Linked DNA regions of Oryzias latipes. The protein of the gene in region 3 purifies or fractionates together with the protein of the main gene of each other region. This does not show direct contact. Links are inferred from orthologs where the notes say so. Each region holds a gene or a part of one and is shown on either strand. Other genes may lie near its edges.

Region 1 (6,471 bases), on a different chromosome or scaffold from region 3:
TTGTGCTAAATACTATTTCAAAATACAGCTCCTACAGCAGACTTGAGTCGTAGCTTTATTACTGTTTGGAGAAAAAGTCTTTGCTCTTCTGGACGTCAGGCTTGATGGTGTCACTACCTGGTTTCCAGCCAGCTGGACAGACTGAAAAGAAAGAGCGATGAGCAGCAGGTCCCACTATAACAATGTGCCAGTATAAAAGCACAGGCGCAGTGTAAAGAAAATATTTGTTAGGGTTAAAAAAAAAAAAAAAAGTCTGGTTTTAGGAAAAATAATCCAAAAATGTAGTATTTTTTGTATTGTAATGCAAATAAACATACTGTAAACATTTGCTTCAAAGTAATTATTCCCAGGCATGCAGATCAAGGTAATAGCAGCAGTAGTATCATACCTTCTCCATGCTCGTCAGTGAACTGAAACGCTTGAACCAAACGCAGAGTCTCTTCAACCGAGCGTCCAACTGGCAGGTCGTTGATGGTGATCTGTCTCAGGACGCCCTTATCGTCAATGATGAATAAACCTCTAAAATCATGGAGAGAAGAAAAAAAATTGCAGGTTTAAGTCAACTTTAAAGTGTGGGTGACATGGCCTATTTTAATAAGCCAAAATATAGTAAATAGTTTCTATTTCATGTTGCGATTGTTTTTAATATTTTTCGAAAAAGAATAAATAGCGAAAAACGCAATATAAACAACGAGGACGGCCGCCGGCTTCACGCATTCCGCCGAATTCGCGCCGCCCTGTTTGTGACGTAACGAAAGGAAGACAAGGCAGACAACATGGCTAGCACCGATAGCGAAGCACAGAGTGATGCTACCGTCTCTATTAGCGATTTATCATCAGATGAACAGAAAGATGAAGAGGAAAGTTGCGGAGATTATCATGATGATGAGTCACTTTTGCAACCGTATCGATTCGAACCCTTTTGCGAAAGTGAGGAGGATATAGCAGAAAGTAGTAGGTCTAGTGATCATGCCGATCATGACGATAGCCAGCATGAAGATTCGGCTAGACTCCAGCAAGTCTAAAAAATGTATAAAATTAAATTACTCCACTTACCCTAAAATATACTCAAAATGTCCCCTTTTGGCCTAATCTAAACAAAGGTAAACACTGGTTTTCAACCCAATTTACAAAATAAATGTCACAAAATAAAAGTTTCCCAGATATTACTACTCTTTAGTTAACAAAGTCACTGTATACCATTAACAACTGTGGAACATTAACAGTTTTACCCGTTTGAACCCGTTTGAAACCTTTTCTCGTGCGCGCGCGCGCGCTCACACACACACAGTTTAGTTTACTCATGGTACCGGCACCTCAAAAGCAAAAGAAAAAAAACGTTGCAGGCCTGTTGCTTCTCTTGCAAAACATTGAGTGCGTTGAAATACTCCAGTTGGATCCAAGGACAACAGAAAACACGACTACTTCGCCTCAATGTGATCCATCGTGATGCACACTAGCTTAGCAGCCTCCGCTCCCGACTCCAGCGCCGTCCTCTCCGACCCAGAAAACGGCTCGCTCGCTTCCAGCTCACCCGCCTTTCCTCGACTCAGAAGCCAAGATCCTCCTCCCAACTCTCCGTTCAAAATTCTTCGTTTGTGTCCCGGTTTTTGTCCCTTCGAAAACGCAGACTTCTCTCCTGCAGATCTGGAGGGAAAAATCCTTCGCCGTCCACCTTCTTGAACTTTCCCCTTTTCAGCAGCGTTTCTTGTTTGGGAATTTTATACACAGATACACTTTCAGTAGATGTATTGCTACATCCAGCTGCCACACAACGACTTGGCATGTTGATGATTAACAGATTTAAACACGAGAGAAACGAAGACTACCGGTTTTGTTTACATGCTGTCCGAAGCGGAACTGCGAAAATCAACGCCTTTCATGACGTCACAGGTCATATCGGGTTCACTTCCAGCCTGCGCTCTAGCGGCAGATCCAAATCTCTGATTCCTTCGAAAGATGTCTATTATTCATATGCTTCGGATTTTTTTCGACGCGAACTATTGGTATCAATAGAATCAGCGTTTAAAGGGCTTTTTTATTTGACAAAGTTGTTCAAAGCATGGCATCCACACTTTAAGGTCTAATTTAGGGATGTGCAAATAGAAAAAAATAAAAAAAACTCTGTTGTGTCACCTGTAAGCAATGCCTTCATCTTCTTTCAGGACCCCATAATCTGTGGAAATGGTGCGGCGCGTGTCAGACACCAGGGGGATCTTCATTGAACCCAGACCGCCTTGTTTCCGTGGTGTGTTTGTCCTTTCAAACCAAAACAAAAAGAAAAATTGATTTCAACTATTTGCAAAAGTTGAAGCACAAGGTATTATGTTAAAAATCTGAAAGTACCATGCAAAATGAGAAAAGTGAGAGTCCACAGAGGCAGCGATGACTTCACAGCCAATCTTCCTGAAGTCGTCAGCAGCGTCGCTGAAGGCGATGATCTCAGTGGGACACACAAAGGTGAAGTCCAGAGGATAGAAGAAAAAAACGACATACTTTCCTGTAGGAAGAGTGAAACAGGAAAAATAAAATATAAGGTATTAGTGCTCTTGCGCTGCCTTAATTATTGTTTACAAGATAGACTGAGGCTTTTACCTCTATAATCTGACAGCTTCAGGTCTTTGAACTGGCCGTCAGGCATCACAGCCTTAGCTGTAAAGTCTGGGGCCAGGCTTCCAATCTTTGCCTTTCCTGCTGCCATGTTTGTCCTTACTGAAATACAGAAGGAGGAAGTGGGATTAAATAAAAAAAAAAAAAAAAGCCTTCCTCGTTTGCCAGACAAAAAGCACGAATCTATGCATCCATGAAAGAGGAAGTAGTAAGAGTAGTAGTTTTAAGAGTTTTAACGTAATGCATAATCAACTGGATACGTGAAATATAACAACATTTAGAAAGAACATGATACAAAAGTCAAAATAATGAACTGGATCAATGAAGTGGGTTTTTCAAAATAAAAGCGTCAAATGAGAGAATGGTTTGAAAAAGAGTTGGAATGTTATTTAGACAGTGTCCACTTAAACTAGTATTTATTACAGCTTACGAGCGCCTCTTTTAGTTTACATTTCCGCATGTGGGAGACAAAGTTAAATGTTTTACTTTTGGTGGGAAAGAAGATCGCCCCGTTTTGGGGAACAGAGAGGTTTTCACGCCCCACAACGCTTAAAAAAAAGAAAGAAAGAAAACGTTTAGAGGCCCAAAAGTGTTAGTCTTAAGACCCAATTCATTTAATATAATATGGGGAAATAAAAGTTATAAAAAATCTGGTTATTTGATTTTCCACACGAAATCAAATCCCGAACGGAAATAAACAGACACTTGTTGAACTGAAAACTTCCGGGTTTAACTGTATGAAAAAAAAAAAAACCTTTAAAAACACAAGTAAACGAGAGGGGGGGGGGGGGGTGGTAAGATGAAGGCATTATGGTACTCACCTCTTAGCGATCACGCCACACCAACTGTCAGAAGCGAACGTGCGGGCTCGAGTGCGCTATCAGGAGGTTTTATAAAGCCCAGAAATCTCGCGATAACATCGACCGAACAAGAACAGAACCTTTCCTTGATCCCTATTTCCAGAAATGAAGCATTCAGCATGACTCTGCACTTTTTAACTGCTATTTCATGAAAAGGAAGCTAGAGAGATGCCTCTTTTTTTCTAACATCTCTAGTTTATGAAGCCATTAATTTGTTTTAAAAACACAGACGAGGGGAAAAACAGCGTTTGGTAGCTTTCTCAATTTTTCTCATAACTTTTGTCAAGTATACATTTCGTTTATCCATATTTCTTAAACTCTTCCTCTCCTTTTTTTCTACTTTGGCCATGCCCTTACAAAAAAACTCCCGGTATGGAAAAGTCTTGTAGACGTTATATTTCAACCAGGGTATTTTAAGCTGCATTTCTCTTGCCAACGATATTATATTTTCTTAAGCAGTTTCTGGAAAATCTCACTCCCTTCCTTCAAACACTTTATTGCAACACTGTGTGCTTATCCAGATTGCTGCCAAAGTCATTTATCTTTTTCATTTCCTGCTTTCCTCTCCTCTGTAATATTTACTGGAAGGAACAGAACACATAATGTACACACTGTCTCGCACAGAAAGAGGTTTCTTGTTGTTTAATTACAAGCCCTAAACGCTTAAATAAAAGCAAAAAAGGTAAAGAAAAACAACAAAATGTCTTCTGTTTAACAAAAATAGATCTGCATAATCCTTAAGTGGTTGCTCTTCATGTGAATCATTCAGTCTTGTCAAATGATTAACCTATGTCTAGTTCTTTATTTAGATACCTCACTTTTAGTGATTTTCTCACACCTAGAGCGATGATGCGTATGAATTGTGAAATGCTAACGTTCAGATTTCTCTGTTTTGCCCAGAAGCTGATCTCATTTACTCTAACTTAATGTTCATATGACCACAGATCTCATGATTGATATTATCTCAAAAGGGGGAAACAACTCAATGGAGGTCAAACAATAATAATAATAAGACTACACACAGTAGAGTAAACAATAGTGTATATAAAGTTGGAAAGAGTTCTTCTGTGTATTTTCTCTGTCATGGCAGAAGCATCCCTCCGTCTTCAGCTATAATCAAGCTGCATCTTTGCAGGCTGTTGCCATAGCGCTACTTCAAGGACCAGACTGGAGGGAGAAACACAATAACCCCCTTTAGAAGCAGCACTCTGAGCCAGTGATCAAACGCTGGCCTGCATTCATCCCCTTTCTCATCCTAATGTCTGCATAATGAGGGCGTGTGATCGTACACGTTTGAAGGACACTTGTGGGGCTGTCATTGTGGTTTCAGTCAGCACTGCAGTTTTGAAACACAATTTCCCACAGATGTGAAGGTGGGCTGAAATGCTGCTAATGTCTATTTTAAACTAGAATATCTACAGGCATTTTACCAAATTATTGAAACCACAGTCATTTTAGTACAAACCTCTTATCCGCTTATCAGAAATTGTGTAGAGATTGCGTGAATTCTACTCAAAAAATGTCAGATTGACTGAAACCATTTGTGTTGAAACAGCACAAAGAAGAATTAAAAATTCTATCCACACAAATTAGGTGCAACACGTTTCCCCTATTTAATTGTGTTAATCCTATAAATCATTTGTTTCAGTGTTTGGTTCAATGGTGTCAAAATCGGCTGAAGTTCCAACCCATACACAAGTTAAAACAAAAATGGTGCACAAATTTACACCATTTTGATGAAATGTCTTTTAAAAACCTTTAATCTATTTTGCTCAAAGCTGAAGTGAATGCCTTCATGGTGTGATCGGGAAATCCTATTGTTTACTAAAGCAAAGCCTCAGGTTTCCAGAGCAAGAAAACAAACCTACTCCACCATCAAATGTGTGTGATTTAAAAAGAAATGTCAAAAATGTCTCTTCATCAAAGAACTTTGTTTGAATTACACCAACATCAGTTGTTTTCTCCCGATCCTAAATGTAGATAAAGTGATGCGTGCACTGTGGAGTGTATTTTTCAGGTAATTATGTCTGATAAAGCTAAATGTTTAATGAGGAAATAGCGGTGGGAATACGGGAGTTGAACAGTGGGAGGTTGATTGGGTGCCACGTTGAATCTTGCCTTTTTTAAGGCAGTGATGGAAAGAAATCAGCAGGACCAGATCAAAAGGAGGACGTGATTGTGGCATGTATAGCACACGTAGGTCAATAAGCAATCTAGAATCAAAACATACATGGATGTTAGGTAAAGCTCAGTTCTCAGCAAGTTTGTCAAGTTGAGGTCTGGATTTTTAACTTTTTTTTTAAATGCTCTTGATGAGGGCACTTTACATATAGCCTCACATTTGGCTTGATTCATGTCAATATACACAAAATGAACATAAATTGATTTTCTGTAAAACGAGGCCAAAATCATAACCCTTCCCACCATATTTTATTGCAACAGCTTATGCTTTTATGGATGTTTTTAAGGTTTTCCCTTTAAGGTCTCCTGTTGAAAATATAAAATTCCAGATAAACTCACAGCTAAAAAACCCTTTTTCACTGATATTGTCCCACTACATAATGTCTTTTCCGATGCTGGTGAAATGGACTTTGTTTTTCGTTTAGTTCCTCACTACTTTTACGTTTTTTTATTTGTTCCAGCCATACAATGTCACACAAGTAAATAAAAAACTCTAAAGAGACAATAATTATGAATAAACTGTGAGTGAAATAACCCCAGATTTTAAATGTGTGTCAGGCATTTCTAGGACCTTTGATGCAAAATATTTTCTAAAAGGAAGCTGTATTTGTCATTCTTTTCTTCTGCTTGTGTCCTTGTCATCCAGTCTATTAGTATAGTAGATTTTGTGAAAATTCTATAATAAAGCTTTATATAAAAACAAGTTTTTCTATTATTTCTTGAAACTGATTAGTAAATCATTTAAACGTAATGACTTACTGGTTTGTTTTAACATTTTTTTGTCAGTGAAATCTAGAAGAAATTTTGTTGTTCTCTTTTC
Region 2 (6,626 bases), about 8.7 Mb from region 3:
TACCTTTACCCCTTACTACCCTGTAGAACTTTAGTCTTAAAGCATTAAAACGCCCTCAAGTGGAAGAGAAAAGCATTGCAGCTTTCCAAAGTCTAATCGTCGCTCATATTTCTGGCAAAGACAGGCTTCACAACATTAATTTTAAGTGCCGTTTAAAGTGCTGTTCATTTGTTTTTGACTCCACATTAAAAAAAAAAAAAAAATCAGGATCCCCATGTGACCCATTTTTGCAGGATAATGAACTCAACATAAAACATTTCCCTTTTTTGTAAACCTTACCTATTAATAATTGCTGGTCTAAAATACAGTGTGGTAAATGGAGCAAAGATTATATCCTTGGGAATGTACTCTTTTAGTGACCTCAAGTTGAAACATGCCTGGGTTCTGACCCAAAACAAAACCCTGAATGGCTTCAGAAAATATATGAACATTTAGTGGTTTAGTAAAGACCTCTCCAAAATTCTGATGGCAGTGAATTAATGCATATGTTCTGAAACCCTCCAACATGGACAATTTTAAAGTTTTCCAAACTCTTCTGGTCCACAGTCCTGTGAAAGTCTCCTAACCACTTCTCGTAAAGGCTTGACTGCAATTGAAACTCATATTTTCACTTTTGTGTGGATTTTGTGGCATCTTTGACTAATATATTATTAGTTTGATGCTCTGAAACATTCAAATGCAACAAACGTCAAAACAAATATCTACGATGAACAATATATGCAATCAAGGGTTAAAATGATTTTGGCGCCAAGATAAGGTTGAAAAACGTCACACCCAATTTGATTTAAGTGGGGTTTTAGTCATTCTCAGTGCCCAAATGAGACAATCACAGTAGATATAACCCATTTTACTTTTAATAGAAGACATACAGAAATAACTTGTGCGTTTCCAATTCTTTGGGACCACTACACAAACGAACCCATACATACAACTGTCCAAGGGAACAATGGCAAAGCATGGCTTGGCTAGTTTATTAGTCCAGAAGAACAAAACTAAGGACTAGCTGTTACATTAAGTAGCTTTGTTGGTCTCATTAAATGCCGTGGGAGGAAGCGGCTTTCAGTGCGGTTTTGAACATTTTACTGAGCGATGCCGATCACGCCGCAGGCCAAACGCGCTCCAGCATTTCCAGTTTTAAGGCTTTCATCATTTCCACCTTTTCCAAGATCATCAACTTTCTCATGGACCTAAATGATTAGGACAAATAGGGCAGGAAGAAAAATACTATCAGCTTTAACAATTTATACAATAAAAAATATTAAAAACAAAATTAAAAAGTAAAAACTTACCACCACAGTTCTGCCAACAATAGAGTCTGGACCTGAGAGTCTGATAAGTTTGTCCGTGATATCTATTTTAGCAACGTTATTATCTCCTGCGGTCACATTTCCCAGGTCCCCAACGTGTCTGTTAAAAAGAAAAAAAAAAAAAAACTTCCTTTATCAAATAAATTCAAATAAAAACTTAAGACACTTAGATGTGGGGGGGGGGGGGGGGGCAGGTTAGATAGATTAGTCAGTTAAAACCAACTAGATGCATTTCAAGTTGTTAAAAAAAAAGAAGCTTACTTTATCTTTAAAAAGTATATTCCTACTGAATAACTACCAAAGAAGTCTGATTTATTTTTAAAGCACTTATCATATGCGACTAATGGAGAGTGCTTTTCAGAATAAATTCAAATTAATTTTATTTACAAAGCACCTTTCATGTCAAACAGACAGCTCAAGGTGCTTTCCATAAAAATAAAAAAAAACAAGAATACAATAAAAACAAACCCCGCACATGAAGTAAAATAATAAATAAGCCCCTTAAAATAAAACACACAAAAACAAGCACAAGTAAAAGAGAAATAACAGAGCTTAAGAAAAGAGAACCCAGAATAAAAATCTAATAAACTGAGGCCAGACACACTATCTCAGTCTTTAATAACTCAGCTCAATGCAGAGCACCGTTCATGATGCAAGTTGTGCAAACAACCCACAAACGCTGAAGTTCCACTGGAGCGCTCAGCTTTGTCAGACTTTGCTCTCCAAAACTATTTGTTAAGGCTACCATCGGTGGATTTGGAGTTAATTTAATCCTCATTCAAGTTAGATATGTGCATGTAGGTGAGTCAATGTGATCTTTTCAAAAGACATAAGCACAAAATTCAAAGGCCTAGAGTGCATTTTACTTCATGTATCCCATTTCTCAGTGTTTTAACAACCTTGGTTTTCCAGAGCCCCCTTCCCAGCATGCCTCATTTGTTACCCAACTGTCAGCACAACTCCATCAGCTTTAAGTGATTTAAATGTGAGCCGTTTAAGCTTTAGAAGAAATAAATAAACATGCAGGGATTAGGAATAGGACATTGCCGAGAGAGATAGAGATTGATTTATTTACTGTGTCAACACCAAGTTGCATGGAAAATGGGATGGCTCTTTTCACAAAGTTTCAGAAATTAGCTGATTCGTTAGATAAATCATCCAGAAACGTAAGCTATAGTTACTTTCAAGCAAGTAAGCTTGATCACATATTCTAAACATCGTCACATCATGCCCAGTGTAAAGGTAGCATGATAGGTGATTATAACAGCAGTGAGTGATGCAGGCAGGCAGAGTAATTACTAGCAGAAGGAATCAAGTTTACAGAACCGTCATGTTATAATTCTGTCCTGGTATACATCTATAAGCACTCCAATTTATTAATGGGGAGGGATAAAATAAAAATTCAAACCAATATCAGAAAACTAATAAGCTATAGAACCAGGTTTTGCATTTACTTCGCTACCCTTTCCCACATGACCCTCACCTTTCTGCATCTTCAGGACCCCCGTGGTTCTTGTTGTATGGGTTGAAGTGAGGCCCTGCACTGACGCACCCTAGAAAAAGAAATGTTTGGGGGGACGGGATGTGGAAGCTCGTCAGATAATATTAGATTTCATTTACAGCATTTTCAAGAATCCCAGTCACTCATCGGCTCATGAACTCACCATTGGTGTTATCTCCATACACGTGGATGTGGAAGCCGTGCTTGCCTGGTGTGAGGCCTTTGATTTCTCCAGTCACCTTCACAGGGGCTGAATCGCTCTAAACACACACACACCAAATACCGTGGCTACAAAATAATTCAATCTACTATTTTAGACTGTCTTATGCAAAAGTAGATCTTCAGAAAATGAAATATTGACCGCAGCTCAGACATTTATCTGTTTTTACTACGTGAGAAGTCTAGATTGTTAGCAACGCCAAATAAGTTATTAGAAACAAACAACAAGTTGGTAGACTTCCTATGACTCAGCAACAACATTAGTATATTGTGGTATTTAAGGTTGGATGGGGATAACAATTCTAAAAATGTATCTTAAAAATAGGAAACTAAACAGAACTGGCGCCATCAGTGTAGTAACGGTAACCAATGACCTCATTTACGCAACCACAGGCAGTTGGACCGTTAATCATTACAAAACCCAAAGTCGTAAAATGTCTAAAGGTTGTGCAAATTTAAAACATGGACCTCAGTCAAATTACTCGAAGACAACATGCTTAAGGCCGACAACAACAGCTCATGATGATGATGATGTACGCATTACTTTTTCAGTACGGAGAAAAAAAAGAAATAGTGGTTCATTAATTCTGTACACTACTTATTAAACGATTGTAATTTTGCAAGCTGTTGCCGGTTTTGGCGAAACATAATTAAGTAAAAGCAAACTTCCAGCACAAAAAGGCATTTCCTAATGTGGATAATGATGTATTAGCATCCTAGCTAGCTTAGCAATGAAGAGCTAAATAAGCAGAGGAGATAAACATTAAGCAAAGGTCACGTTTGCTAACTTTGGAACATAACGTGAGACAAAGTTAAAGCTTTAATACAAAACTTTACCTCCTGTTCAAAATTAACCACGCCGTTGGTTTCTCCTGTTCCTTTCAACACACAAACTGCTTTCAGCACCATTTTTGCTCAAGTCTCTCAAGACACTGCTAGGAAAAGGCGACCAATTACAGTTATGAAAGGCGAGGCTTTGTAGGCGGGCTCAAGTTGGAAATAGCCAATCAGATTCCGAGATGAATGTCAAATAGTCTGTTTGGATTGGTCGAAGAAGATTCCAGAAGTAAAAAAGCTATGAATCATGGGAGTACGAATTGCATGTGAAGTTTAATTATTAATGTTAATATCTTTAATTGCGGTTAATACATTTTTGTAAAAATTTTATCTATAAAAGATTTTTATATAGAAATATTGTTTATGTTTGAAAACAATCAGAATAATAAGAATAGTTTTTGCACTCTTTTAAACAAAAACAACTTTGGTTCTGGTCAGATAACAGCAACTTATCAGTTGCTGCTGAAAAATCTATCAAGTTTTTATACCCCATATCATTGAACAATTCTAACTTGAATCTCTTAAATCTTTCCAGGAACAATAAATTAAGTTGTTTCCCCCCCAAAAGATTAATCTGGCACACAATCTTCTATTTTTCAACATTTGTATGGAAAATAAATGTTTTTGTGTAAAAGATGATGGGAAAATAGGGCAGGCTCACTAACTGCTATTTTCTTTGCTATGGCTAGCACTAACTGCTAGCAATAGCAGTTAGTGTCTGGCCAGTCACAACTCAGAAGAATTTTGGATGAACGTCTGCCACTCTGCAGAAACTACGTCATAAAAAAAAATCGCCTAAAAGCAACATAACTGACGTTAAAATAGATCAAAAGATGATTGGACTGCAACTTTAATAATTTATTTGAGATTCCCATTTATTTTAAAATGAGAAAATTTTTCTGCATAGATTAGTGCAAAAGTGAAACACGTTCAAAAAATATTTTTCCATCATCAAAGACTGTCGGTCATCCCAAATTGTCCTTTTTTTACAGATGACTTTCTCTGCTCAAGCAAAATAAGATGTGACCATGGGTTAAAATACAGGACACAAAAACCATTTTGGTACAAAAATAGTTTATTAAAAAGTTTCCTGTGGCTGAAACATTGACATATTTATGTCCATGTCTTCTGTACTTTAAACAAGCCATAAAAACATCAGTCAATTCTCAAACCACTAGGATTTAAAAATGTTAAAGCAAACAAATGCGTGTTGTTCCTTCTGCATTTCATCTTGGATTGAACATGTAACATTATTAACAACAATTACCATAACACCTTTAAAGTCATCAGTGAAAGAAGCATATTTACAGCAGTGTCCAAGGCAACAATACCCTTCCATTCATCAAATTAGTACTGTAGTTCCACACTTGCTGCCTTTGCATTAACCTAAGGAGGAGTGGGGAGGTTCGTTTGTTTGTTTTTAAATCTGGTGATCAAAATGAAACGTATTAAAATGATTCAAAAATATGAAAAGTGACAGCTGTAAACCAAGTCCTTCAATCCAACTCTATGAACCCGGGGGAAGATTTGGTAGAAAAAAATTATAATAATAATAAATTGGGGATTTTTTGGCTTTGGGGAAAAAGTTTCTTCAAGACCAAAAGATAAACTCAAAAGGTAAACTTGTAAAAGTATGCAGACAATACTCATAAATCCTAAGCGACACGTGTATTTTTGCACATCTAGATTATAACTTCACCTTCACTGTTCCTAAACAGAAGAATGGAAAACCCACAAGGCAGAATGTGATGAGACAAAACTCATTCCCAATGCGATTTTGACTGCACTTCACTTTAGAATAGATTTTTCATAAAACCTAAGCACAGTTCAATTGCCAAAACAACCTGTATAACGAAAAGTTTTATCACTTCTAGAACATTGAGGTTTTTTTTAACATTTTGTCTGTTCCAATTTTCATGCAAGTAAAATGCCACTTGACTGTATAAGCACAATATATAAATGAAGCTTTTGCTCAAGGCTAGTTTGACCTAAAACCATACAAATTGGTGTGTAGTCAAACATTTTTGCACAGGGAAAATGTCATTAAGAAACAGAAATTAAAAGAAGATGCTACATCAATGGTGTCTAATAGAAAAATTGAATAGTTTTTTATTAATTTGGAAATGTATTAAAATGGCAAAAGAAATGTTTACAACCGTCTGACATAAAGGATCCTACCGGATAAGTCTGCACTCTGTTTTTTGTTCTGAATTTCTTTTTATAGTAGTGGGAATGCATTTTAAACACTCAGCATAAATCTGTGGATTATGAACATAAACGTTTGGACCACAGTTGACCACGACAGATTTTTCAGCAACCAGAAAAATAGCACATTTAGAGCAGTTTGTTTTTTTCCTGATCATAGTTGACTCAAATGTGTACCAAAAAAAGGGAAACCACTTCATCATAAAGCTGAATGTGAAGTTTTTAAACAAAAAGTATGCATTTCCCTGTTGGTACCACCCCTTTCTAATATTCAATACCCAAATGTATTTCGTTTACTCCTTATGATGGCACTGCATTGACAACTTCGTACTAAACACACAACCTAGAAAAAAAACAACGGAGCCTCTATTTATAAAAAATCTGAGATGATATTCAGTGTTTGACATTTTAGCAAACGAAAGACATTTTTCTAAAAGGAAAAAAAATGAACTTGGTTAAAAATGTTTTTTTCCCATTAATAAAGTGACTCACATCATTTTAGCCACTTTTCTTCCACAAAAAATAAAGATAGAAAAAATAAAAGAATTTCAAAAAGA
Region 3 (6,449 bases):
ATGGCCAAGAACAAAGAGCAGTCTAAGGACACCAGAAACTGAATAGTTGACCTGCACCAGGCTGGGAAGACTGAATCTGCAATAAGTAAGCAGCTTGGTGTGAAAAAATCAACTGTGGGAGCAATTTTTAGGAAATGGAAGACATACAAGACCACTGATAATCTCCCTCAATCAGGGGGACCTAGTGACTGACCTGCAAAGAGCTGGGACCACACAAAGGCTACCATCAGCAACACACTACACCACCAGGGACTCAAACCCTGCAGTGCCAGACGTGTCCCCCTGCTAAAACCAGTACATGTGCAGGCCCGTCTATAGTTGCTAGAGAGCATTTGGATGATCCAGAAGACGATTTGGAGAATGTACTATGGTCAGATGAAACCAAAATAGAACTTTTTGGTAAAAACTCTACCCATCATTTTGGAGGACAAAGAATGCTGAGTTGCATCCAAAGAACACCATATCTACTGTATAACATGGGGGTGGAAACATCATGATATGGGGCCGTTTTTCAGCAAAAGGACCAGGACGACTGATCCGTGTAAAGGAAAGAATGAATGGGGCCATGTATCATCAGATTCTGAGTGAAAACCTCCTCCCATCAGCAGGGGCATTGAAGATGAAACGTGGCTGGATCTCTCAGAATTACAACAATCCCAAACACACTGCCCGGGTAACGAAGGAGTACGTTTGTAAGAAGCATTTCAATGTCCTGGAGCGGCCTAGCCAGACTCCTGATCTCAATCCCATAGAAAATCTTTGAGGTAGTTGAAAGTCTGTGTTGCCAAGCAACAGCCCCAAAACATCACTGCTATAGAGGAGATCTGCATGGAGGAATGGGCCAAAATACCAGCAACAGTTAGTGAAAACCTTGTGTAGACTTAGAGAAAACATTTGACTGCTGTCATCGCCAACAAAGGGTTTATAACAAAGTATTGAGCTGAACTTTTGTTGGTGACTAAATACCGGTACTTATTTTTCACCATAATTTACAAATAAATTCTGTAAAAATCAGACAATGTGATTTCTGGATTTTTTCTTTCATTTTGTTTCTCATAGTTGAGGTATACCTATGATGAAAATTAAAGGCCTCTTTATTGTTTTAAGTGGGAGAAGTTGCAGAATTGATGGATGACTAAATACTTTTTTGCCCCATTGTACGTCTTTGTTTTCCTCGTTTGAGCTAACATAGCTGGCTATTTTTGTTGCAACAGTAATATTTGGTAGGGGGTGTGAGCTAGCGAGAAAGTGTGTAAACAGAGAGCTCTCATAACAGGGAGGAGAAGTGGGGCTGTGTTGCTCCACACCCTGTAGTCTTGACCACAACCCAGAACTGAATTTCTGAATTTCTAATGAACTACTGCCACTCTGCAGAAACTATGTCCTAGAAAGTGAACTACTGCCACTCTGCAGAAACTATGTCCTAGAAAGTGAACTACTGCCACTCTGCAGAAACTATGTCCTATGTCCAGAGGTTTTGTGATTTTTTTTTTCTAAAAACAGCTCAATCCTAATTTAAATACCACTGGGAATGCTTTGAAATAGATCACGCAATGATCCGAGTGGGACTGTAATGGTATTTTAGCTTGGTGATTAAATGTTCTTGCAACAATTCGTATTGATGTCTGTCATTTTGCACGCAAACCATCAATACAAGATAAGCGATCATGAAAACAAAAATCAGATTTCTTAGATTTAATTGTAATCAGATTTTAGGAATAATGGTGAGAGTCCAGGAGAAAATAGTTGTAAGAAAAAAATATCACATTCTTACAACCATTGACAAAAAAAGCAAGTGAATCAAAAATCTCCACACCAACTATGAAAGAAATGTGGAAAAGGTTCATGTAAATGTGTCCAATCGGATTGTTGCAGTAATTCAGCTTTCAAATTGTTGAGTCAGCAGGCTCTGCTTAAGTATTCAAATGTTTTGGCATCCCCTCAGATTTATTTAAACCACTTTTAAGTAGTTCCGACTAGCGTTCGGATTAAAGAGCTGTGCAGCCAGTTAGCTTGAAGCTATTTTCAGTCTTTACAGTAAAGTGGGTCGATCCCGTAAACCCGTTTGACTGGAGGAGCCCGTTCCAGCTCCGTTAGGAGCAGAAACCTTAGGCACTCCCGTCCCTGAGGGCTGCTCCCGCGTGAGCCCACTACCAGCGTCTCCGCGCGACGCGATGCTCTTCATTAGATCCAGTCCCATCAGGCACTGCGGGCTGCTGCTACACAGACTTCTCCACGGTTCTTCTATCTCCAGAATGCCGATTCAGGTACCAAACCTGCCGCTGTACACTCTACACCCGTAGAGACCGCCATGTGCGGATCTTATTATTGGATTGAGACCGCGGGATTTGGTTTTATTCCGTTTGTAGCCTAACATGCTAACGTGGCTAACACCAGCCGCTATATCAGGCGGAGCAAAAAGGGAGTTTCCTCCATTTCCAACCAAAACGCAGAAGTTTTTAGTGAACATTTAAACAGAATTTAAGCATTACGTATTTTGGAAGATAGCTTCTAGATATTTATTTAATGTGTATCTTTGGCAGCTTGGCCAACCTTTACCTAAAAGGTCATTTTTACTTGCCCCAAATGACCACTCGGATTTTGACGATTTTCGAAAGCTGATTTTTTTTTTGGTTTATAATTTGCGCTTTTCAGTTCTGTGCCCTTTCTTTTTAAACAAATGTGATCGTATCTCTGAATGAACCTTTTCTGTTTTTTCGATTTTTTTTGCAACCTGTTATTGTTAAAGTTGGTTTTCATAATCCCAAACGTCATAATATCTGTGTAATGGCGTACGTACATTATAATAAATAGCGATCTCCTGGTTTGTTGTTGACAATGAAACGTAAAAAATGTATTTTTAAGATGAAATATGCATCAACATTAATATTAAAAAACCTACATGGAAAATGATTAAACTGTCTTTTCTGAATTAGGTGATCTTTTTGTGATTTTGTCGCCCTCAAGTGGTCCTTAGTAGAAGTGCACAATCTTGTTTAGAAAACGCATTATTATTATTATTATTATTATTATTATTTATTTTATTATATTTTATTTTACCAGGAAATTCCATTGAGACTGCATCTCTTCTTCAAGGAAGACCTGGGCCAAAGGGCATCAATACAAAATAAATACAGTTAAAAAACAACTGAAATAAAATACATTACAAAATACAGATGCAATTAAAATTGAAATGAACAGTAGGGCAATGACTAATAGGATTAATTAAAAAGTGGTACAGATAGGTCAAGGGTGACATGTGCATGTTTCTTTTAAAAGCTCAGAAAGTTTTGCTTTAAAACAATTCAATGGAATAAGGTCATAAGGTATAAGGAATAAGAAGGAATAAGGTTATTATTCAGTAGAAAATGCCCATCACATTTTTAAAATGTGTGACTAATAAAATGTCTTTGTTTTGTTTAATTTTTGTTGTGTTACTTATTTCTTCTTTTTGTCATATCTAATTTACAATGATTAAATTTGCAGATTTATATCTATGTACAAGTAAAAAGCAAATTCTAGCACACGTTTGAGATAAAAAAAAGAGAAAATCATTTTTCTTTTATCAAAGTAACATTAATGATGTAAATAAATTAGGTGATAATGTAAAAACAACAATTCAAATGTTGTAGGTACGCTGTTATTTTCTTATTGTTAGAATATATGCACTCATTGTGGATTCATTAACAGGTTGGTGAACAGCTTCCAGCTGTGGCAGTTGATGAGGGGGAGCCAGGAAAAAAGGTGTCCATGGATCAGCTCTTTAAGGGGAAAAAGGGAGTCCTCTTTGCTGTTCCTGGAGCTTTCACTCCGGGCTGCTCTAAGGTAAAGCGTCAGTTGACCCTGGTTGTTCTTGATTTGCATGCAGTGATCTTTTGCCCGCTCATGATTTCCTCTCTTGTTGCTCCAGACTCACCTCCCAGGTTTTGTGCAGGAAGCTCAGAGCTTAAAAAGTAAAGGCATACATGAAGTGGCGTGCATCTCAGTCAACGATGCATTCGTCATGGCTGCATGGGGGAAGGAGCACGGAGCAGAGGGCAAAGTATGGATTCCTGTCTGCATTATACAGTCTGTATTGATAAAGACTGGAGGTTGAGCTTGCTTCCTCTTCTCCATTTGCAGGTCCGAATGTTGGCTGATCCGACTGGAGCATTTACAAAAGTAACAACATTTGCCGTACAGCAAGCAAACACAGTTTAACGTTGTCATTTTGCCTTCTGATCCGCCTTTCCTTTCTGGTTTACAGGCTGTTGACCTGTTACTAGACAGTGACCAGATAGTGCAGGTGCTGGGAAACAAACGTTCAAAGAGGTAACATTCATTTGTCCTTCATGCTCCTGCAGTCCTGATCACGGCGCTTGTGGTTTTCAAGCTGAAGCTAACTGCGGTTCTGACCCGTGCCTCAGGTATGTGATGTTGGTGGAGGACGGAGTGGTGAAGAAGATCAACGTGGAGCCGGATGGCACCGGGCTGACCTGCAGTCTGGCCTCTAACATCATGTCGGAGCTGTAGCTCCAAATGAGCGCACTGAAGCAAACCGTTAACCAACAGCTACTGTAAAAGTTGCACAAGGAGCATGGCGCTGACTTGCTCAGACTTCTCTCTTTTCCCAAAGTTTAATGCAATTGTAATGTGATCGCTTGCGACAGAGCCGGAACGCAAGTCATACGCACAATTATGACACAGGGAGCTTTTTCTAGACTGTTCTTTTGTTTAATCCTAGCAAATAAAATTCTCTCTAAAAGCAATAATCTGCTGTTTTTTTTGGATATATTTTTCTAGCTAGTGTGTTTACAAAGGCTAGTAATTATCCAAAATTACTCAAGTGAAAGTAGAATTACTTTGACATAATATTAGTAAAGCAATCATCAAAATGACTGGGTAAAGTCATTTATCAGAAGTACTCAAGTTAGAACTTCTGTAGGGTTTTGGTCAAAAACCTTACTTAACCCTTGTGCTATCCTAGGCACTTTAACGTTGGGAGTTGGGTCATCTAGACCCACTAGACCAGGGGTGGCGAACAAGTTTGTCACCAAGAGCCAAATTTTTTCGCTGTGAGAGTCAAAGAGCCACACCACACACTGACCTGCCAAAACGTACACACACACGCAATTAAAGCCGTATTACTTTCCATAACACACTCATCTCCCTACAACAGAACAGCAAGTTTTGTACTGATGTTTATTTCAAGGAAAGAATCCACCTTCAATACACACATCAATGCAGCTTAGCCAGAGTAAACACAGAGACTACCCTGGAGGTCAGAGACCCCCTCCACACACTCTCTCTCTCATCTCTCTCACACACACACACTCTCTCTCTCTCTCTCATCTCTCTCACACACACACACACTCTCTCTCTCTCTTTATCTCACTCTTTTGTCTGCCTCTCTCTGACACACACAACCACACAGTGACAGGCGGTGAGGTTGATGCTGGAGTGGCACTGACTCCTCTGAAGTCAGATTTACGATGATAAAACTGAATATTTCACCATTTATCCAACAGCATTTAACTGGTAATTCTTTGTGTCTCAACATTCCTCTTTCAATGACCCTTACACCAACAAATACACAAACATCTGGACAGAGCATCCTTCTGGTGTCTGAGTCATTCATATTCACAATAAACACATTAAATACATTACATGTCAGTTGTGTGCAACTTAAATTAATTTTGACCTTCATTAGAATATCTTGCTTTTATATGTTTTTTTAATTTAAAATTGAATGACTGACATCTGCATCAAAGGCAAATAACCTATTTAATAGTAATACATTGCAATGAGTCAGTTCGTACTTAAAAGGAATAGTCCAACAAGTTCTGAGTTTAAATTTAACTGGCTGCATTATCCACGCCTCTCCTTCCTGCTCATGTTTAGGAACCTGGTAACTTCTTTTCTCACTCACTCAGCCAAACGGCATGCAACTCAAATCTGCTAACAGCTACCTGGCTCACGGTTTTACACTGAAAATGTCCTACTTCCCATGACTCTTAGGGGCTGAAGGCGGGGCTAACCCCGAGTTCTCCACACCATAGATATGTGTGCGGGGTGGGCGGATTGGGCGGTTTTTCGCTGGGTCTGGCGGTTTTCTCGTGACTTTTGGGCTGGAAAACTGTGTCACTATCTGGCAACACTGATCAGCTCCTTTACCTGAGTGTCGGTCAGAACGGACCGATGTCTGTTCTCCTAATTATAACAGGGCCTTCTTTCAAAGAGATTTCTGCTCATTTATCTCTGGTTCTCTCGCTGCCTCATCAGTGACCAGCAGGGATCTCAGGCAGTCAGTCTCTGCATTAAAGGATCCATGAGAAAAGTGATCTGCGGTCGTTTCCGTCCAGTTGCGCAAGCAGCGTCACGTTCTGCGCCTCGTTCATTCTGATTGCAGCTTTCTGCTGTGAGCTCCACAAAGAAGGAAAGTGGGATGATGGCCGTTTAGAATGAGCACT
Region 4 (6,579 bases), on a different chromosome or scaffold from region 3:
ACGTATTTTATTTTTGGTGTTCAACTACGAAATTCACAATAATTTTGATTCAAAACCGGCCCTTTTAGAGTCAAAGCTTGCAGACGCCTGCATGCTATCATCCACACTCTTTCCTGAACCCACGCGATAAGAAAAATAATAATAATAAAAAAAAAAAACACGCGATCAGACAATTGTCGCGATGAGTCGTAGAAAGCATTTTCTTTTCCAGGTCTCTTTTTATTTTGTTCCTCGTTTCATTACCAGTTTACCATTTCGATTATCGTACTTTTTCGTTAGTAGGATTAAAATATAAAAACGTACAAAGGTATTCGATGGATTTAGCTAAGATAGTACTCTACTGTAGTACTAGCAGCCGCCATTGTTTGTGTGCTGCCTGCTACACTGCAGCAGGTACAGCAGTGACTGCTTGATCCGTTTTTATTCAGTTAAATACCGGAAAGTTTTATAATCTACCTCACAGACACGTGTTAACTTCATAACACATTTATTAAAGTCGTGAATCTACTTAAAATCTCTCAGAAAGTGCCTGAAACATCAGGATATGCTAGCTCACCGGAAGTAGCGCTCCACAGAGTTCTTCTTCTATGGATTTCACTGTACCAACCCATACATACCAACGCACTACTGCCGTCTCCCGGAAGTGTTGGGTTACTGCATTAAAATGAGACTTGACCCGATAAAACTGTGGGTGATTGGCATTTCCTACCTACTGCTAGGGGGGACTGCCACATCTCATATTACTTGCTTTTTCGATGACAGACTTATTACTGTTTTGTAAATGTGTGTATGAAAGAGAACATAGTTGTCAAATGCAAAAGTATTTTAAAGGCCCACTCCGATTTCTAACATGTTCTTGTAGCCTTTTTCTGATGGAAAAGGACAAATATAAAGAAAATGATGCTCAACATTGGATTTCTGAGTATTTCTTTATTTAAATCACCTCTTCTGAACTGGTATCTGGATCTAAAGCGGCTCACCGTTTTTGTTGCACAGGTAATATTAGGATGGGGGTGTGAGGGGCTGTAAGCTAGCAGGAGCTCGCAGCATAAGTGAGAGCTCTCAGTCATGGGCGACAGGAAGGGACAAAGGGGGGCAAAAAAACATCACTGAAAAAGGAACAGGAAAGAAAACTGACACTGCTAAGTGATGATTCGAAACAGGTTGGCAAAACAGAGAGGACTTGGACCTGATCCACTCTTTTTTTTAAGGCCACAAATACAAAAATGTAAATAATAATTACAAACTGGACAAATATAAAAGACTGACATAGCATAAATAAAGCAACATTTACAATGGACTGGATTTCAGTCCGCAGATCATCTTTATTTCATCTATTTCCACACACGTTAGATTACAGTACAATAAGGCTGTGCATTGTAAATGTCACAAGTTTCATGTTTAATTTGATCTTGAGTTATATTGTAAGCTATTTATTTTAAAAGTTAGCATGTTGGGCACTTTGAATTTACACTTACAGTAAGGTTTCCACACTAACCATTCCCAACCGACTCCACCACATTGGAATGACAGACGACCGCTGCAGGTGACCCCACCCACACCAAGACGCCGCCGTGAACGTTTGCAATACAGACCATGTTACCTGGACGATGCAGCCACGGTCTGCCGTCCTGTTCACGGATGAGGGTCGGGTCACCGTGCAGAAAAGATGGTCACCAGCGTTGCTGGAGAACGCGAGGTGGAGCGAGACGATGAGGTCAACATGGTCTCCAGGGTTCACTTTGGTGGGGGAGGAGCAACAGTTTGGACCGGCATCACCAGGTTCTTGTAGACGGTCCAGTCACTGCAGGTTCTGACCTCAGAGACGTTATAGAACCATCATCATCCCCCAATTCCACCAGAACACCCCCAACTTCCTGTTCATGGATGATGATGATCCACCACATGGTGCCAGAACTGTCACAGCTGGACTTCAGGAAGTGGGAGTGGCTTTTCTAGTAGCCAGCAATGACCCTTGACCTGAACCCAATAGAGCAGGTCGGGGATCAGCGGAAGCAGAGACATGCAAGTGACCTGAGCAGAACTGCATGTAGCACTTGTGTAAGAGTGCTATTGACACAGTCAATGTCTGTTATTTTGGTTTTGTTTTAATTCTAGGGGTAATAAAAATCAACCTGATGAAAATTGTGTTTCTTCTTCACTATTAGTGATTTCACATGATTTTTTCCCTCAATATTCAGACCGAATAGGAAAAGTCCTCGTGTAAATAACAACGTTCCTAACTCCTTAGTAGTGTCACTGCTTTAGTGAGCCCCAACGCACAAACTTCTTCCAAAGATTTCTCAGGGCCGAAGGAGCGGCTTTTATTTTGAAGGGTGTAGTACTTCCGGGGGCGCAGCTGTCGGGGTCTACTTGTTTCCACGCAGCCGCGCTTCTTTTCTCCAGAAGCTTCAAACCTTCCTCCGAGTTCTCGGCGGGCAGTCAGGTGTGTTGGGAGTGAACGGGGTCAGTCTGGTCTGACGTCAGCGTCTCCGGGTTTTGCGGTTTGTTCCGGAAGAAACTGACAACAAAAAAAAAAAGAAGAAAAAACCCGGTTTCTTAAGCTAATGTTTAAAAGAAGCTAGCTAGTAGCGACGGTCCGGGCCCGCCTGCCTGCGGTTCCGTCTTTGTTTGGGTCCGGGTTGGTTCGGTCGAACAGCCTTGGAGACGCGTTTGAAAGTCGCTGGCGGTGCCTTTGATCTAACCGGAGCCGCGCGGCGTTTGTTGGTTTTCGACCAACTTAAGAGACAATGAAGGAACATGTGTGCTTTCTTTGTGTGTGTGTGTGTGTGTAACACTTCAGGTAATGAACTTTGAACTTCAGTTAAACAACCTTTAGTCTTCATTCCCGCCTTAAAAGTGCGTCTCTCTTTTTTCTTCTTATCTTTCTCCTTTTGAGTCGTTTAAGGCTGTAGGTTCCGCGCGCCTCTTAAAGGCTTTTGTTCTCCTGACTGCCGCGTGACCTCCTTGAGGAGGAGGGGGGGGGGGTGCAGGGGGGATGAATGCAGAGATCTCAAACCGTGAGACTTTGTTTCAGCTGCAGTGCCTAAACGTGTTGTTTTTCTGTCTTCTTCATCCGTGGATCTTCTAGTCCCTGCAGTTGCTCATCCTCCACCATCATGTCCGCTGGAAAAGCTCAGATAGGCCAGCCTGCCCCAGACTTTAAAGCCACCGCTGTAGTGGATGGACAGTTTAAGGACCTGAAGCTGTCGGACTACAAAGGTACTCCATTATTCAGTATTTGCACCTGCTCCTGCTTGGATTGGTGTCACCGACGCCATCGTTGGGGTAACTGGATTCATCCTCTCTGGGTTGAGTAACCGGTTCCTTCTGTGTGTTTCAGGGAAGTATGTGGTTTTCTTTTTCTACCCTTTGGACTTCACCTTCGTTTGCCCCACCGAGATTATCGCCTTCAGCGACCGGGCGGAGGAGTTTCGCAAGATCGGGTGCGAGGTCATCGGCTGCTCCGTAGATTCTCACTTCAGCCACCTGGCGTGGTGAGTCCTCCTGCTGGAAGAACCGGAGATCACCCACAGCAGCCGCGGTGACGTGTGCAAAATGTCTTTGATCGGAGTAGAATTGAACCGTGTTCATGGGCCCAGAAACACTTTATACGATTATAACAAACGTTTACATATGTCACACTTTTGGTTCGGATTAAATCATTGTGACACGAGCAGAACTCTCTAAAATACCGGAAACGTCTGTAGAAGACGAAACATTGAGTTCTGTTGTAAACAAGCTGCAGCATAGAGGTGATTTTAGTGCTTGTTCACATGTTTTCTTGGCTGCACAGAGCCAGAAGAAGGGTTAGCTTAGGCTAACACGTGCTAACAACAACATTTAGCCGTGGATGCAGTTCAAATCCATGCGGTCGATGCTGCAATCTGCATCTCTGCTGCCTGCATGTAAACATGTGGGAACAACATCAGCCTTTATTCAGAAATAACATGAATTCACAGGATTGTTTCCACGGTTTCTCAGGACTCTGCAGCGTTTCTCCATTGAATAGCCGCCTCCGTTAGCTCACATCCGTCCCAGAGCCGCTCCTCTGCTAGGAGACCCGGTTCTATCGGGAGACCCGGTTCTCCTGAGTCCAGCAGCTCGCTCACGCAGAGAAGCAGGACGGACGGCGGTTCAAAGCCTCTTCTGGAGCGCCACACCGCAACAAAACGCCCCCCACGAAGCTACACGTCTCTGCTCTGATCAGAGACACGCTTCACACGGGTGGAGCAGGCGGTCGGTCCTGTTTGTGCTCCAAAGTCTCCTCCGGAGCGTCACACCGTCTATAGGTGACGTAAACCAGGGCAGCAGTGACCCACGATTAGAGTAAACGGTTTACATGCACCATGATCTGATCAACAATCTGCATAATCCGTGTTGGTGGAACGGCGTATTTACATGACACATTTTTCTTTTGATCTGGCGTTCGTTCCGATTACTTTTGTCCATGTAAGCGCAGCTCCTGATGAGTCAGCGGGTTGCTATCAGAACCTGTTCCTGGAAAAACTGCGTTTGAGCGGGTTGGGAGTCTTTGCAAAGGTCAAGGACAAGTCGGAAAGCTTTGATAAGAAAAGGTCGGCAGGGGAACGCAGGCGGAGGTTTAACCTGTGAGGATCGACGCGTTGTCCTCGAATTTAAATCCGAATCTCAGTTTATGGTGGACTGGGGAACCCCCCACCCACACCCATAAACACACACACACCCACACACACACGCACACACAGGGCGGTGCAGGATTTGAGTCTGCACCGGCAGTATTTACAAACGTGGAGCAATTCTATAGGAACACTTTCTAACCAGAGAGCAGATGTGGTACAACAGCTTACATCAGCTGGTTCTGAAGACCCCCCCCCACACACACACACCCAGGTTTATCTCCGGTCAGGGTCTGGCTGCAGGGTCTTGATAAGTGCTGACCCAACGGTCTCACAGCTCCTCCCTTAAGTTCATCCTTAAGCTGCTCCTCCTCTTCAGTCCGGGTCTTGGTCCAGATTTAAACCTAAAGCCTATGGAGTAAAAACCTGCCCCTCCCTGTCAGACGTTAAAGTCCCCCCAATATTCTTCCACTCGAAACTTTTTTTTTCTTTTCCACAAAGCGTTCCCGTAAATGCGGCCCTTCAGGTCAACATGCGTGGTTGCAGGTTGTGTGATCTGAGTTGCAGTGAGCTGCAGTAAGGAAAAGGTGAAGATCACTTCCCTCATCATCACATTTTGCTCAGTTTGACTTGCAGACGTTTGTCGTGAAAAGGGGAATTTTCAGACAAACAACATAGAAACAGGACAGTTTGAACACAAATCTGTCAAATAGTCGAGCTGGACTAGAGGTAAGATCAGGCCTAAAATATCCAGCCCGACCCGACACAGGCCCGCGGGCATTAAAGCCGAACCCGGTCCGAACCTGACCAATTAACTTTAATAACCGTTCAGACTCGAGCCCGGGCTTAAGATTTTACCTCTAAGCTGGACGTGCACAGCTTCATCTGTTCAGAGCAAAAATCTTAAAGTATAGAACTGCAATGTGTAGATTTGATAGGAAAAAAGGAAAAAAGAATGACGATAGTCATAGTTACAGAAAATACCTTGTTTGACTTGGCTTCCTTATTCACATTTCTAATTCCAACCCCATTCCACCCCCCCCCCCCCCTTTCTATTGGGGGCATGGTTTGGCACGTTACCTTAAATATAAAAGTTCCTAAAGTTTTATTTTGAAAGTTCAATGAAAGTTTTTACTTTTTCCGGCCTTTTGCTTTTGATGCGTCGTGGGATTGGAAATGGAACCGTTGCGTTGCAGAGGGACGGACGCCAGACGCTGGCGTGACGGAGGCGACGTAAACATTCCTATTGATTAACCAAGGTTGCACTTGACAGATGGACTGGTGGAAATCTGGCGTCTCTTCATTCAAACTTAGTCTTTTCTTTTTTTTTGCCCATATTCCTTTGCCTTTCAAGACATTGAGCAGAATGTACATCGTTTTGATAAAAAAGGTGGCATGAGAGTTATTTTTGGACGGGAACTTCTGATTGGTTGGAATTTCCTGCCCCAACAAAGATCACATGTGTGCGGGACAAACGGCCCACAGCTGTGGTGCCCTTGAGCAAGTACTCTGACCTCTGCTGCTGGCTGTTTTTGCCCCACAGCTTCGGTTCGCTCTGAAACTTTGTGAACATTGTAAAAGGGGCGGAGCTTCCCTGAATAGAAACGTGTCTGCTTTTTTCGTGAATTCCCTAATATGTTTATTTTATTTTTTTTTTAATTTAAAGAATCCTGTTGGAGACGTGGGATCTTAAGTGGATCTGTGGTAAAGTCTAAACATGTTTTATGTTCCTAACCTGCAAAAGGATCAACACCCCGAGGAAGCAGGGGGGTCTGGGCAGCATGAAGATCCCGCTGGTGGCCGACCTCACCAAGTCCATCTCCAGAGACTACGGCGTGTTGAAGGAGGACGACGGAATCGCATACAGGTCCGATTCTTTCCCTTCCGTCGTCCGGCTTTCTGAGCTGTGGGAGAACGCAGGATCCCAACAGGACGTGTTTGTTTTTGTCCCTAGAGGTCTGTTTGTGATCGACGGCAACGG
Region 5 (5,186 bases), on a different chromosome or scaffold from region 3:
AATGGCAGTGGAGCTCTGTGGTGAAGGGGGTATTTTGGAGAGGCAGCCAGTGAACTGTGAAAAGTGCAGCTTTTACAGGGCCTGTTGGGATTGGAAAGTTGACTTGACAATGTTTCAGCACAAGTTTAAAACTCCCCCATGCACCTTTTATTAGGTTTCATGTATGAATGGATAACTGATGATTGTATTGTTGTTGTGTATTATTCTTATTTGATTGCTTGAAATAAACCATTTCAAATCAAATTAAATCAAAATGTCATATTTTAATATGGGTTTGGGTATTTTTTTTTGGTTCATTGGGAACTATTATTAGTCCAAAGAGTTTAAGGAATGCCTCTTACTTGATTGAAATAAATCATACGCCGTCAGATTTCAAAGTTGATTAAAATGTGGTCATTTTCAAATATTTTACATAAAAAACCCTTGTTCCAAAACTACTGAGAAAACTCACAAGTAGTTTGATTTACTTGTTTGCTTGTAGGTTAGGGGTAAAAAAAAAAGATTGAATGATTTAAAAAAAACATCGATCTTTAGCTTTAATTAATTAAATCAATTGAACAATTTTACTTTAAAGTCATTCTTACTTTTTGTGGGGGGTAAAAAAAATCCTTAGTTCATTTTCTATGATAAAAATTATGATTTTTGTTGATGAAACTTCCACTTTTATGAAGTCCACATCCGTGGTTTTTTGAAAGTTGGTTTTCATCATCAAATAAAAATGGGTTTATATAGAGATTTAGGGGAAGAAAATGTATTGAATCAAAATTTGAATCAATTTAGTGTTTTGGCAGCCGTTGATCGTAACAACGTTTAAGTATTATTACATAAGTAACAGCGTTATAAGTTAAGTAACTGAGTAATTTAAATAATTACTTTTATCCCGGCTGCCACGCTGTTTTAGTCACTTCGTATAGATTGTAGTGCGTTACCTTTTAGTTAATTGATTTGGTTTAAACTTTTTTTCTTTCCCTGAGCGTCTTCTGTGTCACGCGACGGGGGTTGTCCTACTCGAGATCACGATTGGAAAGGGATTCAGGTGGGCGGGGGCACACTGAAGCGCTCCAAGATGTGATTGAGCAGCGCAGCCAGCAGGATCAAATCAACAGGACGTGTCAGCATTTTGAGGCTGGAAATATTACGTTTACTTTCTTTAATTAAAACAAGAGGAACAGATGTTTGTCAAATTCATGCTGTGTATCGGAACAAAGACATTTACCGACGTCCATCTGAAGCCATTTAAATTTAATGAACCACTGAGCCTCAAACTTGTATTTTTTCATCTCACAACCCACCGAGTGTGTGCTCCGGTGACAAAGCAGAACCGTTAACCTTATTGCAAAGTACCCTATGTGGTGGAAATCATGCTTCCACTGATCACTGTTGACTCAGACATTCGGAGATCTGAGCAAAGCCGAAGATGTAAAACGTCCATAAAGTAGATTAATGATGAAAGTGCAGCTAAAGACATCATTTCAGGGGATACTTGAAATATGTTAGAAACATTCTCTTTTATTATCATGCAACATTTGGTTTTGCCTTTATGTAAAATTAATATTTAGATTTATAGTTTTCTTGCTGCAGTTTTGAAGTGTGATATTTCTGACTGACAATGTTAACGTTTAGGTTAAGATTTAGATATTGTTATTTTATTGTTATTAATTATTCCTGTTGCTTTCCATTGTTCCCCTCTATTTCTAAAAAGGAAATTATTTTGTTTATTTAAAAAAAATTGGATACCAGTAACTAAAAGAAGTTGATACTTCAAACCTTTATGTTCAGTTTTTGAAGTTAATATCATTGATTTTTCTATATAGCTTTTTGAGTGTTTTTGTGTGATACTTCAAAATTTTCTTTAGAGTTCTATACTTCAATTCCCTCGCTCTCTGATAATTTAACAGAATTTCATTGGTAGAAGTATACCAGGATACAAGAAGTGTCAATTTCACTAAATTATTGAACTTAAGTTATTAGTTGTTTGTTAGCAGCTGAGGAAAAATATATATTTTTTTAGCCATTTTAAATTATTTTTAAAATGTAGTAACTGAGTTACTAACTCAAATACTTTTTGGGTTGATGTAACTAGTAACTATAACTAATTACTTTTTCAAAGTAAGATTCCCAAAGCTGGCCCTAATGAGCAAAGACGGGACAGAGAAAGAATTTTTAGAAGATACGGAAGGGGATAAATCCAGCAAAGCGGATTGAAAAGTCTCCTAAAAATGTCTGAAAACTGCAAAACACTATGCCAAATTATAAACAGTGTTAACTTCTCCATTTTAATAAAAGTTCTATTTTATTCATTTCTCCTTCATTGTACTTGAGCTGTATCTGAATGTCTTCTATGAGACATGGCGTCTTTTGAGTTGGGACTCGTCTCAGGAGTAGTTTGGACTTTCGGTCTGCTGCCCTGAGTGTGAACAGGAAAGCAGCCAAAGCAGCACGATCAATAGTTTTCTATTAACTGTTTTTGTTTGGATGAGCTCACTGCACTGCTTAGACATGGACAAAGTTAATGCGGCAACCCCACCCTTTTTTGTTGCTTTTTTCTTTCAATAAGCTCTTCAATAATAAAATTCTTGCCTTTTCCTGCTTGAAAATTTGAAGGTTTTTAATCCCAGGTTGCTGCATTTTGCTTTTTTTGGGAGGAAACGGAACTCTCTCAATGCTTTTTTAAATATTACTTTTCAGCAGGAAGCTGTCACATGAGACTTGAACAGTTTTGCACTTTTGCAGGCCCTACCGCTCTTTTAGCCCATGGCATTGGCTTCGGCAGCACAGTCACAACGCATCCTGCCATGAAGGAGAAAATGATGGCTGGAGGTAAGAAGTTGGTGATTTCTAATCTGCTGCTGTCATTTCAGCTAAGAAACGTGTAATTGTTTTTAAACAGCAGCAGATGGTGCTGTACTGGCTGCTCCTTTATCTATAGTCTTCCTGCAATGAGAGCACACCACTCAGAGGTTAAAGCAGTTGCAGGAATTTAATAGAACACGCTAGAACTGGGTCAATTGAAATGACAACAGATAATCCGTTCCTGAAGCACGTTGATGGGCAGCATGTGCGATTTCTTAGCTGCTGTTTGAAACTCCTGTATGGTCATTAACCAAATCTTTCTTTTTTTTTTTTTTTTTTAGATCACTATAAATATTCAGAAGCTCGAGTACAGAAGGATGGACATTACATCACCAGCCGTGGACCAGGAACCAGTTTTGAATTTGCCCTGACAATCGTAGAAGAACTTATGGGGGCCGATGTTGCAACTCAAGTCAAGGCTCCTCTTATTTTGAAGGACTAAATGTTTCCACTGTCACCTAAAAAAAGAGGCCTTGCCTCAGTAATAACTATTAAATTCCTTAAACTGTGTTTCACATAAAACAGTAAATATATTTTTCAGCCCAACTAAGATTCTGAGTGTTCTTCCTGTGTCATAGATGCTTACAAATGCTTTCAAAACGGAAATAACACTAAAATGCATTCAAGAGCTTTTCAAGCAGTCAACATGCTCAGCGTATTTCGACAGTTTAATGTTTTTCAAACTAGAAATAAAAGTTGAAAGTGATGGATCTTTGTAGTGTTACTTGTACTGTAGGTCACTGACGTGTTTTCGCATGCCTGCGGCGGTTGTTGAGACCTAAATATAGACGGCATATTGTGTTTTAACGGGGTTACAATTCAGAAGGCGGGAAGCAGAAACCGAATGGATTGACGGTTCAGCTGACCAATCAAATCCCCCAGCTTGGCTGCAGTTGTGGCTCAACCGACGAATGGCACGCGGCCGGTGGGCGGGGCTTTGGAGTCAGCGCATGGTAGCTGTTTCAGAGCAACACAATCCGGAGGGTCTTCATCTCAGTCAAGAAGGAAGAGAAGCGTTTTGACGAAGGTAAGAGCAGTAGGTTTCGGAAATACTTTGGTTATTTGGGGTTTTGTCAACGAGTAATACTCACCCGAGGGGCTTTAAACGGCAAGGATGGTCCCTTAAAAATTTCATTCATTCATTGTGCGCAACGAAATCACATAAATAGCCACTAAAGGTGTGTAGAGTTTAAAATTAGGTAAGATTGTTAAGCTACAGCCGAAACAAGCAGCTGTCTGTTACAACAGTAAGTGTGTGTTTGCCACTAGGACTCATTGTACTCGCCGTGATTAGCCTGCTAAGTGTTCAAATAGGTGAACATCAAGTTCGCTGCAGTTCTTGTATAATGGGTTGAATTCAGCTTTTTTTTTTTTTTTTTTTAAACTGGCCCGGTGGGGGAGCGGTGGCGGCATTACGCGCTCTGATGTGCTGAGACTAAACGCACAAGATTGAGTCCTCACGCCGGGAGATGGCTCTGCAGAGATGGGAGCCGACATGAGACGTCGGTCTGAGGAGCCGTCCGTCCTCAGCAGCCACCGTAGTCAGCCTGAGCCGCAGAAGCTGCGTTGTGGAGCTGATGGGAGTGCGGCAGAGGCCAGCTTCAGTCCATCAGACCGAGCGAGGCATCCCCGCCGCCGCCGCCGCGAGGAAACCAGCTAGAAAAAACCTTCCGCTCTAATATAGGACCATGTTCAAAACGCAAAACTGCTGCCTTTTAAAGAATAAAAAAAAGACTTTTGCCTGCTAAAAAGGACAAGTCAAGATGCTATCTTAGTTGTCTCGTTTTACAATGGGAGGAAATGCAACCCTAGTTTTTACCTAACAGCATTTTCAGAGTGAGAAAGTGCCTGACAGTACTGCCGGACTGCAGGCATTGTTTGCAAAGCATGCAAAAGTCAGAGGTCATGATTAGAGAGCAAGTCAAATGGCTTTTTAACACATCATTATGCAGTCTGACGTTCCCTGTTACACACTTTATTTGCATTTTTTTTAATTGATCAAACTCAAGAAGGCGAACTCGGTGTATTGATTATATGTCTATATATGAATACAAAAAAAAATCAATACCCTTGCCATAAAACGGTCTTCAATATTTCATTTAATGCTGTTGCTGGTATGTAAAAGCAACATCAGCCCATTAAGTGCCTCAGCTAAAGAACCAATATTTGCCTCTCCCTGGAGGACAAATGCTCTTCTGCCTGGACAGTTTCTTGACAGTACTACACAGTCCCAAACATGCAATATTTGATATTTGTATATTTCCTGATAAATAACATTTTGCACTGTTGCACATAGCATGTTAGAATTATTCTGCTTGAGCAGCTGTACAGTA

Evidence for each region.
Region 1: the proteins of prdx5 (region 3) and peroxiredoxin-1 fractionate together in Homo sapiens (co-fractionation; 3 studies listed by BioGRID). This does not show direct contact. The link is inferred for Oryzias latipes from reciprocal best matches to the Homo sapiens genes PRDX5 and PRDX1.
Region 2: the proteins of prdx5 (region 3) and sod1 fractionate together in Homo sapiens (co-fractionation; 3 studies listed by BioGRID and IntAct, with this or other methods). This does not show direct contact. The link is inferred for Oryzias latipes from reciprocal best matches to the Homo sapiens genes PRDX5 and SOD1.
Region 4: the proteins of prdx5 (region 3) and prdx2 fractionate together in Homo sapiens (co-fractionation; 3 studies listed by BioGRID). This does not show direct contact. The link is inferred for Oryzias latipes from reciprocal best matches to the Homo sapiens genes PRDX5 and PRDX2.
Region 5: the proteins of prdx5 (region 3) and park7 fractionate together in Homo sapiens (co-fractionation; 3 studies listed by BioGRID). This does not show direct contact. The link is inferred for Oryzias latipes from reciprocal best matches to the Homo sapiens genes PRDX5 and PARK7.

What each region holds. Positions count from the first base shown.
Region 1 is NC_019875.2:16,491,202-16,497,672, forward strand, and holds the start of peroxiredoxin-1, read right to left. Parts: upstream 3,557-6,471; 5' UTR 3,432-3,556; intron 3,159-3,431; exon of another isoform or gene 3,097-3,158; intron 2,713-3,096; 5' UTR 2,702-2,712; coding exon 2,596-2,701; intron 2,501-2,595; coding exon 2,347-2,500; intron 2,260-2,346; coding exon 2,137-2,259; intron 520-2,136; coding exon 389-519; intron 142-388; coding exon 59-141; 3' UTR 1-58. UniProt on the Homo sapiens protein: Thiol-specific peroxidase that catalyzes the reduction of hydrogen peroxide and organic hydroperoxides to water and alcohols, respectively.
Region 2 is NC_019872.2:10,952,695-10,959,320, reverse strand, and holds sod1 (superoxide dismutase [Cu-Zn]), read right to left. Parts: upstream 4,060-6,626; 5' UTR 3,937-4,059; coding exon 3,865-3,936; intron 3,069-3,864; coding exon 2,972-3,068; intron 2,861-2,971; coding exon 2,791-2,860; intron 1,408-2,790; coding exon 1,290-1,407; intron 1,188-1,289; coding exon 1,080-1,187; 3' UTR 832-1,079; downstream 1-831. UniProt on the Homo sapiens protein: Destroys radicals which are normally produced within the cells and which are toxic to biological systems.
Region 3 is NC_019872.2:19,609,114-19,615,562, forward strand, and holds prdx5 (peroxiredoxin-5, mitochondrial), read left to right. Parts: upstream 1-1,998; 5' UTR 1,999-2,174; coding exon 2,175-2,267; intron 2,268-3,690; coding exon 3,691-3,825; intron 3,826-3,910; coding exon 3,911-4,042; intron 4,043-4,122; coding exon 4,123-4,161; intron 4,162-4,246; coding exon 4,247-4,311; intron 4,312-4,406; coding exon 4,407-4,512; 3' UTR 4,513-4,751; downstream 4,752-6,449. UniProt on the Homo sapiens protein: Thiol-specific peroxidase that catalyzes the reduction of hydrogen peroxide and organic hydroperoxides to water and alcohols, respectively.
Region 4 is NC_019859.2:35,388,278-35,394,856, reverse strand, and holds the start of prdx2 (peroxiredoxin-2), read left to right. Parts: upstream 1-2,326; 5' UTR 2,327-2,446; exon of another isoform or gene 2,447-2,466; intron 2,467-3,091; 5' UTR 3,092-3,119; coding exon 3,120-3,222; intron 3,223-3,343; coding exon 3,344-3,497; intron 3,498-6,342; coding exon 6,343-6,579.
Region 5 is NC_019863.2:8,958,483-8,963,668, forward strand, and holds the end of park7 (protein DJ-1), read left to right. Parts: intron 1-2,733; coding exon 2,734-2,820; intron 2,821-3,134; coding exon 3,135-3,295; 3' UTR 3,296-3,399; downstream 3,400-5,186. UniProt on the Homo sapiens protein: Multifunctional protein with controversial molecular function which plays an important role in cell protection against oxidative stress and cell death acting as oxidative stress sensor and redox-sensitive chaperone and protease.